Linked DNA regions of Mus musculus. The protein of the gene in region 3 purifies or fractionates together with the protein of the main gene of each other region. This does not show direct contact. Links are inferred from orthologs where the notes say so. Each region holds a gene or a part of one and is shown on either strand. Other genes may lie near its edges. The genes, in order: Rnps1, Dhx8 and Nkap.

Region 1 (3,644 bases), on a different chromosome or scaffold from region 3:
CATGTCTGCCTGTGTGCCACCATGCTCTCTATCATGAGGATAATGGACCTCTGAAACTGTAAGCCTGCCCCAATCCTTTATAAGAATTGCCTTGGTCATGGTGTCTTTTCACAGAAACAGATCACTAAGACTATCATCCCTGATTCAGAAACCAAACTAAGACCCCTTCAAATCTGTGTCTATTTTACTTCTGTGGGGCATGCACCAGGGCAACACACATAGAGTTAGAGACTAACTTGTGGGAGATGCCCTTCTCAGCTCCTGCCTTGTGTATTCCGGGGAAGGGCAGTCTGGTTGATGGGCTGGGCAGCGAGCACCCTCACTGACTCAGACATCCTGCCCACCCTCTAACTTTTATTCACTTTCTTTCATGTCTTTTTGTTTGTTTGTTTTGTTTTTCGGGACAGGGTTTCTCTGTATAGCCCTGGCTGTCCTGGAACTCACTCTGTAGATCAGGTTGGCCTTGAACTCAGAAATCTGCCTGCCTCTGCCTCCCGAGTGCTGGGATTAAAGGCGTGCGCCACCACGCCTGGCTCTCGTGTCTTTTTGAGACAGGCTCACACGCAGCCCACCATGACCTCAAATTTCCGACTATCCTGGTACAAATACATGTGCATGTACCACTGCACTTCCCCTCACTTGTGTGTCACTGTGCACATTGGAGGTTAAAGGACAAACCACGGGAGTTATCACATGCCACCATGTGGGTCCCGGGAATTAAACCCAGGCTGTTAAGCTTGGCAGCAAAGACCTTTACCTGCTGAGCCATCTTGTCAGCCCAAACTACTTTTCTAGTAACTACTGTAATGAGCAGGCTAGCCATTCTGAACTCACTTGGAGCGGGAGCGCCGCCTGTTGTCATGCCTGCGCCGAGAAGGGCTTGGGGAGCCGGAGGAGCTGCTAGAACTGGAGCTCCGGGACGTGCTGGAGCTTCCTGAGCGGCTGGATGCAGAGGACGAGCTGGAGCCACTGCTTGAGCCTGTGCTGGTGCTGGAGCCCGAGCTGGAGGTGGAGCTGGACCTAGACCTGAGGACAAGGTGGGGGTGTCACAGAGTCAATGAGCAAGAGTCCTATTTCTGCACAGAAGACTGACTGCTCAGTAGAGGATATCGCTCTCCTGGTTCTTACTCAGAAATCTGCCCGCCTCTGCCTCCTAAGCACTAAGACTAAAGGCATACGCCACCACTGCCCGGTGCTTTCCTGCTTAAGCCCCATTTCACCAGTAATGACATCTGACAAGTCCCAACACCGTATGAGATGGGCTGTTGTTACCTACACAGAATCCTTATTTTTACCAATGAGGAAAAAGCAGCAGCCTAGCAAAAATCAGATCAACAGGGCTGAAGACCAATTCAGGCAGGTTTTCAACTTAAAAATAAAAAGAAAGAGGGGCTGCAGAGATGGCTCAGAGTTTAAGAGCACTAACAGTTCTTCCAAGGTCCTAAGTTCAATTCCCAGCAACTACATGGTGGCCCACAAACATCCACAATGGGATCTGATGACCTCTTCTGGTGTGTCTGAAGACAGTGACCGTGCACATTAAAATAAATACATAAATAACATAAAAATAAATACATCTTAAATAAAAAAAGGAGCAGACTGGGAGCTGAAAAATGTCTCTGCAGGTAAGAGGAACCAGGTTTGGTTTCTAGCACCCACATGGCAGCTCACAACTGCCTGTGACTCTAGTTTCTGGGGACCCAATGCACCTTTCTGGCCTGTGTGACAACCAGGCACACACATGGTATGCATGTATAAACACAGTTTAAAAAAAAAAAAAAAGGCTCCAGCCTGAAGCCAGTCATTCTCATTTCAGGATGAATACATACTTGCAAGAGAAACAATTCATCCATTATCCAAACATCACACTTTAGTATCATAGGAGAGTTTATATCCACAAACACACATTACACAGCAAGACCACATAACATATATAATGAAACAAAACCTGCATGCTATATTAGGGTCTTATCAACAACTCTAGGGTCTGTTTTCAATGTAGTTAAGACAACGTAGTCTTCCCTTGGGCAACCAGCTCAATTCAATTGGCAAGCTGCAGGAAGCAATGAAATCCTGTATGGAAAAGCTAGGCAGACAGCTCTTAGGGAGCCACACATACAGGACTACCCTCGCAGAAAAGTTGCTGTCATTCTCACTTCAACTGGGCTTGCTCACTAACGATCATCACACTGGGCTTGTCTCTCTTGGAAGGGACAGGGTCAAGGGACCCTCACTGGAGTATCCAGCCACCCCTCCAAACCAGTTGTAATTCTGCCCTATTTGCACAGGTCCTCAGGTCTCAGGCAAAGGCTTTAAGTAGGGGACTGTGGGGAGGGAACATTCACAGGGCAGTTACCACCCACATTCCTGCCAATTATCCTTCACCCACTGCACTGGAAGCCTGGTAAACTCACTGATTTCCTAGAGTGAACTTTGCTGAACTGGACCTAGGTTTGTTTGTTTGTGGGAACATGGAAGAGCAGATGGCCTTCACACCTCCCCAAAGGAAGAAATTTAACATACTTTTGGCCTTCACAACACACACGTGTCACCCCTTTCCCCCAAAGAAGTTCTTGGAGGGCTTCACAGTGAAGGAAGACATGGTTCCCTCTGCCCCACCTGGTACTGCTGCTTCCGCTTGAAGCACTGCGTCTCTTCCGAGTCTTATCTCTGCCACGATCCTTCTCACTTGACTCTTTAGTGGCCCCTTTATCTTTAGATCGATCCTTGGACTTCTCATCAGATCGGTCCTTGCGTTTGGTAGGAGAAGGAGCCCTGCATGATAAGATAGAATGTGAGGTTGCAAGCCCTTCTGACCAAACCCTGAGATAGCACAACCCAGTAGTGCGGTCCAAAAGGATTACTAACATCCCAGGTGATCACAGAGCAAAATCATCTGTGAATTAGGGCACGCACTGTAGAACAACAACAACAAAAATCTCCCCTTTCCTAGGGTCCTTAAACAGCAAGCACCCCCAAAATAGCACTAGAAAAAAATCTTACAGAGGATTACCTAGTGCTGGACTTTTTATTATTCTCTTTGACTCCTAGCAAGCTCTTCTTTTTCACTCCTGATAAATCCATTCTCCCCTTCTTCAAGGCAGCAATGTCGGCCTCACTTATCTGAACTCTCACTTCTAACTTGAGTCTGAGAAACGATCCCTAATCGATTGCAATTTACGCCAAAGAGCAGCCTAGTAACAAGATAAAAGGATTGAAATAGAGCAAACCAATTGACAAAGCATCAACTCTATTTTGCATCAAAGACCGTTGAGCACACAGGACAGAAGCACAGCAAACAGCAAGTGTCCACACAGCCTTGACACCCAGGGCCCTCATTAGCGCGCCATGGAGGCCTTTCCTACTCTTAGAGGCCACCTTAGGTTTTTTATTTGAGAAAGAAAGGCAAAATGTATTACATGTCTAAGGTACAGGCATATTAAGATTCTTCTTTGTTTTCCTTAATGAAGTGGGAGAGGTAATTGTAGCTACATTTGGTTTTTTAGGGCCTGTCCCACACTAGAGTTCACCAAGTTTGATGATGAACCAGCCACCTGTAGATGGCTTTCAAAATATTAGACACCACAATGGCCTCAGAGGAGAAAAACCCAGATTTGTCTTATTGGCATTGTTTTCTTTAAGGA
Region 2 (4,312 bases), on a different chromosome or scaffold from region 3:
CTGGGATTAAAATCGAGTGCAGCCATGTCCAATTTAGAGTCTTTTCTGATAGAGCTTTAAAAAACAGCTCCCAATCTCTTTGTCCTTTCTTCTTGTTAAGTGTTAAAAGTGCAGCTGGATAGAAATATGAAGTTTTAGTAGCAAGGAGATGTAGAGAAAGAAGGGTCAAGTGGAATTAACTCCTGAAACCTAACTCCATACTGGCAGATAAGCAAGCAGCATCAAGGGCAGACTTTCTCATTCTGTTCACGGAGAAAGGAAGGAAGGAAGGAAGGAAGGAAGGAAGGAAGGAAGGAAGGAAGGAAGGAGTGAGTCCTGGAGAAATGGCTCATGGTTCTGAGCACTGGTCACTCTTCCAGAGGATCTGGGTTCAATTTCCAGCACTCACACCGAAGCTCACAACTATCTGTTACTCCAGTTCCAGGGGATCTGACATCCTTACACAGACATGAATGCAGGCAAAACCATGTATAGGAAATAAAAACAAGTAAGTTATAAGGAAGGGAAGGGCATCAGGAACTCAGATGGCAATGTACTAAATCCTTGGGAACCTGGAAACACGGAACTACTGTGATAGTCCTTTGCCTGCAATTTTGAGAGAGGTTCTCACTGTGTAACTTTGGCTGACTTCAGTCTCAGAGAACAGCTTGTTTCTGCCCTCCGAGTGCTTCAATTAAAGGAGAGCACCAGCCTGCCCAGCTTCCCTGCAACTCGTTATCACTGAAGTGTTCCCAATAATTCAAAGACACAGTAGTGCAACAGAGTCAGCCAACAGTAGCAGAGGGGGCTCATTTTCTGTCTTTTGACTGATGGGAGGGCTACTCACCTTAGAGGAAGTATTTTCTTGTTTTTTACACAGAATACTAAGACATGGGAAACCCTTCATCTTCATTGCAAGGTTCTGCCAAAGGGAAAAGTAAAAGTTGGGACACCTGAATTTATGACCTCAGGTTCACAACACAGCTGACATTTAGAGAAGCAGATTTTAAGAGGACTGAGGGTTTTGGCAACAGGAATGCTTGAGATAAGCTTTGCTGGACCACTCGCAGTTTGGGGGGGTTATAACAGCAACTAATATTTTCAGTGTGCCTACTGTGGCTCAGCCACTTTGCATATCTATTTCATTTAGACCGTATTATCCGAGTTTACAGATAAGCAGCCAGAATCTAGCGTCTGCTGGTGTAAGGTCACTTGAGATCACTTGCCATGAGGTCAGGAACTGAGCTGATCAAGGACAAGCCAACTTGCTTTTCCGAGGCGCTGTTCAGTCGCGCAGGCCACGGTCGCCCTCTGCTGACGGATCACAGAGGCGCGCTGAGATTGATCCTTAAAAAAACCTAAAGGCGGGTGGAGTCTTCCCCCCCGCTAGAGGCCGCCACTGAACGAACAGCGTAACTCAGTGCGTCTGGCCCGTCTGTGGGAACTTCCTGCCAGATCTCGCTGATCCTTACAAAGACGGTTAACTTTACTTGACGTCCCTGTAAACAAAAGAGACGAGCGCCGACCCGGAAGTGGAAGCTGTGGCTTCGCGTTCTGGCCGGCCGGAAGGAGACCAAAGGGAAGTTGTAGCCATGGCTGTAGCCGTGGCCGCCGCCGGGGTCCTAATGGGCTCGGAGCCCGGCCCGGCGGAAGAACTCGCTAAACTTGAGTACCTGTCTTTGGTGTCGAAGGTTTGCACGGAGCTGGACAATCACTTGGGCATCAACGACAAGGATCTGGGTGAGCTGGAGGAAGGTCCCGATGGCTTTTGATTTTGGGGGTGAGGGAGGCAGGAGAGAAGCGGTTGATGGTGTGTGTGTGTGTGTCTGTCTGTCTGTGTCTGTGTGTGTGTCATCGTGACTTGGGCTCCGGGAACCTGTGGCGGTGGCCTCTGCTTGAGAACCATCCGGTCCGAGCTATTAGAAACCATTTCTGTGAGCTGCCGGTGAAGGCTGGGGCAGCAATTTCTGCTCGATTGTTGTTTTTCAGTTCTGGGGGGCGAAATAGCTTTAACAATAGCAGCAGCAGCAGCCCCCGCGAAGATGATGGTTGTAATTACGGCCAGTAATTTTTAGAAGCTCACAAGATATTATGGGTAGCTCTTCATCTACATTATCTTGTTTGGTCTTCGCACAGTCAGGCAGTAGTCAGCATCTACTTCGAGCTTGTGCTTTGAGCCGTGCTCTTAAATTAGTTACATCTTCTTATCTCTCACATACTAGTCATTAGATGTTTAAGGGCAAACTGTGACTAGGGGACCCAGAGAGAAAATAAGAAAGGCTCGGGGCCCAGATCGTAATTATATGCATAGCCGGAGCCCTTGTGAAAATGAGAGGCCGAGTATGTGAATTAGAAGCATGAGGGGAACACTTCCGTTTGATAGGTACAGGGTTGGGTGGTGTTGGGCTTTTTCAGAATGTCCTCAAAAGTAAATGACAGCCAGGCAGGCGCCTAGGATCTCAGGCTTGGGATGTGAGGGCAGAATGATTAGTAATTCCAAAGTCACACGTAGATAATCTGAGGGTAGCTTGGGCATGGTATGTATCAGGGTATGACCCGTCACAAAAAACGACGACAAAGCCGGGCAGTGGTGGCGCACGCCTTTAATCCCAGCACTTGAGAGGCAGAGGCAGGCGGATTCCTGAGTTCTTTTATAATTTAATTATTATCTGAGTCCATTTATAATTCCTTTTTTTTTTTTTAACAGCTGAATTTGTCATCAGTCTTGCTGAGAAAAATACTACCTTTGATACTTTTAAGGCTTCTCTGGTCAAAAATGGTGCAGAATTCACAGTATGTATATCTGAAGATTCTTTGTTTCCTTTTTGTTTCTTTGGTGTTGCTACTGAATTTAAATTTTGATCGCACTAAAGGATTTTTAAGTAGGAAGGAGCGATTTGTGCATATCAAGTAAATAAGCCATCAAATGTGTAAAGTTGCGTTGCTGGCCAGGGAGCCAGATTCCTTCCCCACTGTCCTAGGAGAATGCCGCAGGACTTCCGGCAGTAAGTCTGAGGATGCTGACATTCTTTTGTTGTTGTTGTTGGTTTGTTTGTTTTTAATTTTTTATTAGATATTTTCTTCACTTACATTTTTTAAAGATTTATTTATCTTATTTATGTGAGTACACTGTAGCTGTCTTCAGACACTCACCATAAGAGGGCATCAGATCCCATTACAGATGGTTATGAGCCACCATGTGTTGTTGCTGGGAATTGAACTCGGGACCTCTGGAAGGGCATTTGGTGCTCTTAACCCCTGAGCCATCTCTCCAGCCCCTGATGTTGACATTCTTGTTCTGTGAATCAGGACGTCAGGGACAAGCCGGGCAGTTGTGGCCCACACCTTTAATCCCAGCACTTGGGAGGCAGAGGCAGGCAGATTTCTAAGTTTGAGGCCAGCTTGGTCTACAGAGTGAGTTCCAGGACAGCCAGGGCTACACAAGAGAAATCATGTCTCAAAAAACCAACAAACAAATGAAAAATGACGTCAGGAGCAATAATAGTCTAGGGTTTGGAGACAATTTTAAAAGATGGGAAGAAATGGTCTCTGGGTATCGTCCAAGCCAGTGGTCTGCAGCCTTCTAATGCTGCAACCTTTTAATACAGTTCCTCATGTTGTGGTGCCTCCCAACTATACATTTATGTTTTGTTACTTCCTCATAACTAATTTTGCTACTGTTATGACTCATAATGTAAATATCTGTGTTTTTTGATGGTCTTAGGTGACTCCTAAAAGGGTTGTGACCCACAGGCTGAGAACCTCTGGTCTAACTTAGCTTCCTGCTGTCCCAGGCTGACATTCTGTGCTTTCTTGTCTAGTCAGCACACATTGAGGGCATAAGCACACTTCCCTACAGCATATCCTATTGTAATATTGAGCCAGATCCAGAGGCTGACGTGCTATGTCTGTGCTTCTTTTCTTTGTAGGATTCTCTTATTAGCAACCTCCTGCGTCTCATACAGACCATGCGGCCTCCTGCAAAGCCTTCTACCAGTAAAGGTAAGGAGGGCTCCAGCTGAGCAGAGCCTCCAGAAGGGGCTGGGTGGTGGCATCCCTGTGAACTGCACTTTGCTCTCAGCTGTTGCTAAGCAAGAGAATGCTCTAATCGAATTCTGAGACATTCAAATGAGGGCTGATAGTCTCCCTCCCCTCCTTCACCAGCACACTGCTTGGTGAGGCTTTCGAAGTTAATGGATTTAGACAATCAAGCTAAATTTTCTAGTACGTATGTGATATATGTAGTAAAATGTTGTTTGTTTTTTGCATTTGATACAAATCTAATGTTGAAGTTATTGCATTCACTAGTAATATTAAATATATCTGTCTCTTT
Region 3 (4,200 bases):
TCCCAATACTTGGGAGGCAAAGGCAGGCAGATCTCTCTGTGTTTGCAGCCAGCTTCATCAACATGAGTTCCAGGACAGCCAAAGCTATACATAGTGACCTTGTCTCAATCCCCTCCACCCAAAAATAAATAAAATAAAAATAATTCTTTGAAGAAAATAATTAGCCTGAATTCCTTAAAGTTTGATGGCTTATGACTCACTTTTAAAAGTTACTACTGGGCTGGAGAGATGGCTCAGTGGTTAAGAGCACTGACTGCTCTTCCGAAGGTCCTGAGTTCAAAACCCAGCAACCACATGGTGGCTCACAACCATCTGCAATGTGATCTGACGCTCTTGTCTGGTGTGTCTGAAGACAACTACAGTGTACTCATATACATAAAATAAATAAATCTTTAAAAAAAAAGTTACTACGAAAGACCTATAATTGGCTTTTCTTTTTTTTAACATTTTTGATCATGAAAAAGGGTATTGATAACTACACAGAGAGAGACTTGGAGAATTTTGTATTTGGCCAAAATGGATAATTTAGAAAAGGGGTACAACTGTTTGTGGCTTCTGGGGGAAGAATGCCTGCCCAGCCATAAAGAGCACAGAAGTCTCATGTCTATTGCTCCTGTAATATGTTAAAATTTCTTATTTTAAAACACAAAGTCTAAGGCCTAGTACCATGCCTAAGACATAATTTTAATAGACAGAATAAACTTCATATCACCTAAAAGTACAAATGCAAATCTCATCCAATCACTTAACATTCCAGTAAATCCTTTACTCCTCTGAAACTGGATCTCATAGGACAGGGTCTAGCTAGTCTTCAACTCCTAGTGGTTCTGACCCTCTCTCAAGTGTTGGGATTAGAGACATGATCCTGGCTCAGCATTTGCTTTTCAACTGACACACTCCATGGGTACCATCCCAGAGGTCTCTAACAGATCAGGACTGTTTCACTTATGGATGTTATTACACCCTTAAAAGCCTTGTTACTGATTTCCCTGTCCCTTGTGGGCCGCTGCTCCAACTCGGGGCCTCGGGTTTGCTAGGCAAGCATTCTTCCCCTGAGCTCAGCTCCAGCTTCTGCGGATTTTTAATGATGAAGAAGCGAAGCTAGGAAAGGTCTCACTTGCCCAAGACCATCCTGCTTCACCACAAACAAAACCTTCACACTCAGGCAGGGCAATGCGGAAACTTGCCCTTTTTTTTTCTTATACTGTATTTCTTCCCCTGCTGGGGGAGGAAAAAAAAACATGAAGCATCTCTCAACTGTTGGAAAGTTAACTTGCCCCTCGATGCCTGTAATACTTGAAATTTTACCATTTTGAAACACATGGTACAGGGCCTAAGACCTAATTTTTAACAAGCATAATAAACTTCATACATATCAGATACTATGACTAATGCAGCAACATGAGCCTCTCTCAGGATATCACTCTACCTCAGGCCTACCTTGAATTAACTCTGTAGTACAGGCTGGCCTCGAATTACTTGTGACAGTCCTACCTCGGCTTCCTGAACGCTAGGATTACAGGAGTGAGACATCATGCATGCCCAGCTTTTGAATTTAAATATGTCTTGAGGCATGGCCTCATGTAGACCAAGGCGGCCGTAAATTTGCTACGTCGATGAGAATGAGTGTTCTGACTTGCCTCAAGAGTCTCACAGTTGTTGCTACTAAAGATTTGTGAGTCTTTTTAAACTAAGAATTCCATTAGAGGAAATCCAATCTCATTCCCACATTGGTTTGCATGGTCAACACGGCTGAGACCACTTGCCAAGACTTTTCCCAACATAGCCTCATCTAATTATTCTTTTCCCTCAAAACCAATACATATACTTAATTACAATACTTCCCAGTTCACTGCAAAACGTTTCCACTGAAATATCCTCTTGTCTCAATTTTTTCTGTTTGTTCATGCAACAAGAAACAGCTGCCATGCCTACCAAGAGGCAGGCACTACTAATTCTGTGATCAATAAAAGTCACAAACCTCTATTTCCGTTTAGTGAGGAATAAAGACAGGTGCACGGATAATGACACCAAGGCATACAATAGCCTCTTACTTTCCCAGTAGGGGTAAGTAGGTAGTGGGAAACCAGGGCCTCTTATGAAGGAGTCTAGGGATGAATGAAAATGTAAGTTAGAAAGGATAAATAAAAAAGGTCACGGGGTGAACTGAAGAAAGAGATGAAAAAGGTGCGAGGCGGATGGGAAGCGAAATAAAACAGAAACAATGAACAAGCTGGACTCAAAGGCAGGCAGAATGACCCAAGAGAGGGTGCGGCGATTTCACTCACTTCTGCCGGAGACTCTCCTCCCTTTCCTTGTCCAGCAGGCTAGGCCATGGCTTGTCGCCCCCGTAGGGACGCGAGTAGCCGCCGTAATAGGCGGACGAGGATGCAGAAGCAAACGGGGCGCTCCGCTGTGCCGAGGGCCGTTCGCGAGAGCGCGATCGAGAGCGGGAGCGGTAAGATTGGTTTCGGGAGCTTTGGCTGAAGCCACTCAGCGAATGACTGAGGCCATTCCGGTCGCCGAACCGAGAACAAGAGCGCGAGCGAGACCGGCGACACCGCGGGGAGCGGGAAGATTTGATGGATTTGGGGCTCCGCGATGGACTGCGACGCTTCGCCCCGGAGGCCTCCCGTTCAGGGCTACGCGAGCCCGATACAGGAGCCATGGTGGGGGAAGCTGAAGCTACCAAGGGGCGGGACAAGGAGGCGCTCTCGCGACCCCCAAAGGTCCCGGACACCTAGGGTCCTAGAGCTTGCAGCCGACCAAATCCGAAAAAAAGCAAGCAAACAAACAAACAAACAAAAAAACCAACTTGGAAACAGTTCCGTGTACAGCGGTAAACCCCTTCCCCCGGACCCAGAGTCCTTGCCGCCAACAGGAAGGGATTTGTGTACCTCTATATAGAAGCCGGCCAGGAAACTGAGGCTACGCTCTCATCCAGTTCCTAGTGAGGTTTCTGAAACCTAAACCGCACTGGATGCCTGAAAGAACATTGCGATGAATGAGACAAGTATTTCATTGAGTAGCCATATAAGCAACACCGCCAATTCTCCCTTTATTTAGTGTGGGACGATCTTTGCCTGTATAGTGTGCGCGTATGAATCTGTGTATGTATTATAACCCCCACTCCCACTCTTTTTTTTTTAATCCCAAGCAAACAAAAGATCATGATTAGGGTTAAGCTTTAATCTAAGATCATTGTTGTCCAGTTCACTTAGAAAGCATACATTCTGATAACTTCAGTCTGTTATACTCCGATTAATTTAGCGACCCAGAGGAAAATCTTAGTACGTAGGTTCAAGCCACCCATCTCTACAAATGTCCCACAAAACGAAGTTATCAAGCCCCTTCAACTAGTCCATCATACACTAGCCCAGCAAAATATAAGGTAGACGATTAATAGTTGTATGTATTAAGTATTTTTAGGCAAAAGAGCATTCAAATATTAATTTTGTTTTTAATTTTTTTGAAATTGAAATGTAATTGTGTCATTTTCCCCTTTCTACCTCCAACCATTCCTGCGTGCCTCCTCTTGCTCTTTTAAACTCATTGCCTCTTTTTCTTTATTTGTCATTACATGTACCTGTAACTATAGCTGTTGTAATGTTTTCACCAGAGAAGACTACTTAGATATGGGTTTTAGCCAATAGAAAGTCACACACGCCGGGGCGGTGGTGGCCCATGCCTTTAATCCCAGCACTTGGGAGGCAGAGGCAGGAGGATTTCTGAGTTCAAGGCCAGCCTGGTCCACAGAGTGAGTTCCAGGACAACCAGGGCTACACAGAGAAACCCTGTCTCGAAAAAAAAAGTTGCGCGCGCACACACACACACACACACACACACACACACACACACACACACGTCCTGTGTTGATATACTTCAGTTAACAAGAACATGTCCAAAAGTGAAACTACAGAAGCCAACAGGGAAGGTCAGTACCTTTAGGAATATTCCCAGAACTATGTACTTTGATCTTTTGTCTTTTGTTTTGGCAGGTGATACTGTCTACATGCTGAATGTTGCAGCCTGAATGGTACTTCCATCATGGAGTCAGTTGTGCTAAGGTCTGGGGACCTACTAAGGTCTAGAGCCCTGTTACAATAACCTGCTCAGAGCATATATTAACCGTATGTTTATGATTTCAGGACCGACCATTTGGTATTGGATAATCAGCTGAGGGAAGACTATTTCTCCTGG

The links.
Region 1: the proteins of Nkap (region 3) and Rnps1 purify together in Homo sapiens (co-immunoprecipitation; 3 studies listed by BioGRID and IntAct, counting the BioPlex papers as one, with this or other methods). This does not show direct contact. The link is inferred for Mus musculus from reciprocal best matches to the Homo sapiens genes NKAP and RNPS1.
Region 2: the proteins of Nkap (region 3) and Dhx8 purify together in Homo sapiens (co-immunoprecipitation; 3 studies listed by BioGRID and IntAct, with this or other methods). This does not show direct contact. The link is inferred for Mus musculus from reciprocal best matches to the Homo sapiens genes NKAP and DHX8.

Annotation. Positions count from the first base shown.
Region 1 is NC_000083.6:24,417,588-24,421,231, reverse strand, and holds part of Rnps1 (RNA-binding protein with serine-rich domain 1), read right to left. Parts: intron 3,195-3,644; 5' UTR 3,085-3,194; coding exon 3,014-3,084; intron 2,776-3,013; coding exon 2,620-2,775; intron 1,027-2,619; coding exon 835-1,026; intron 1-834. UniProt on the Homo sapiens protein: Part of pre- and post-splicing multiprotein mRNP complexes. Auxiliary component of the splicing-dependent multiprotein exon junction complex (EJC) deposited at splice junction on mRNAs.
Region 2 is NC_000077.6:101,731,470-101,735,781, forward strand, and holds the start of Dhx8 (ATP-dependent RNA helicase DHX8), read left to right. Parts: upstream 1-1,486; 5' UTR 1,487-1,571; coding exon 1,572-1,719; intron 1,720-2,686; coding exon 2,687-2,772; intron 2,773-3,908; coding exon 3,909-3,981; intron 3,982-4,312.
Region 3 is NC_000086.7:37,125,464-37,129,663, reverse strand, and holds the start of Nkap (NF-kappa-B-activating protein), read right to left. Parts: upstream 2,902-4,200; 5' UTR 2,669-2,901; coding exon 2,289-2,668; intron 1-2,288. UniProt on the Homo sapiens protein: Acts as a transcriptional repressor. Plays a role as a transcriptional corepressor of the Notch-mediated signaling required for T-cell development. Also involved in the TNF and IL-1 induced NF-kappa-B activation.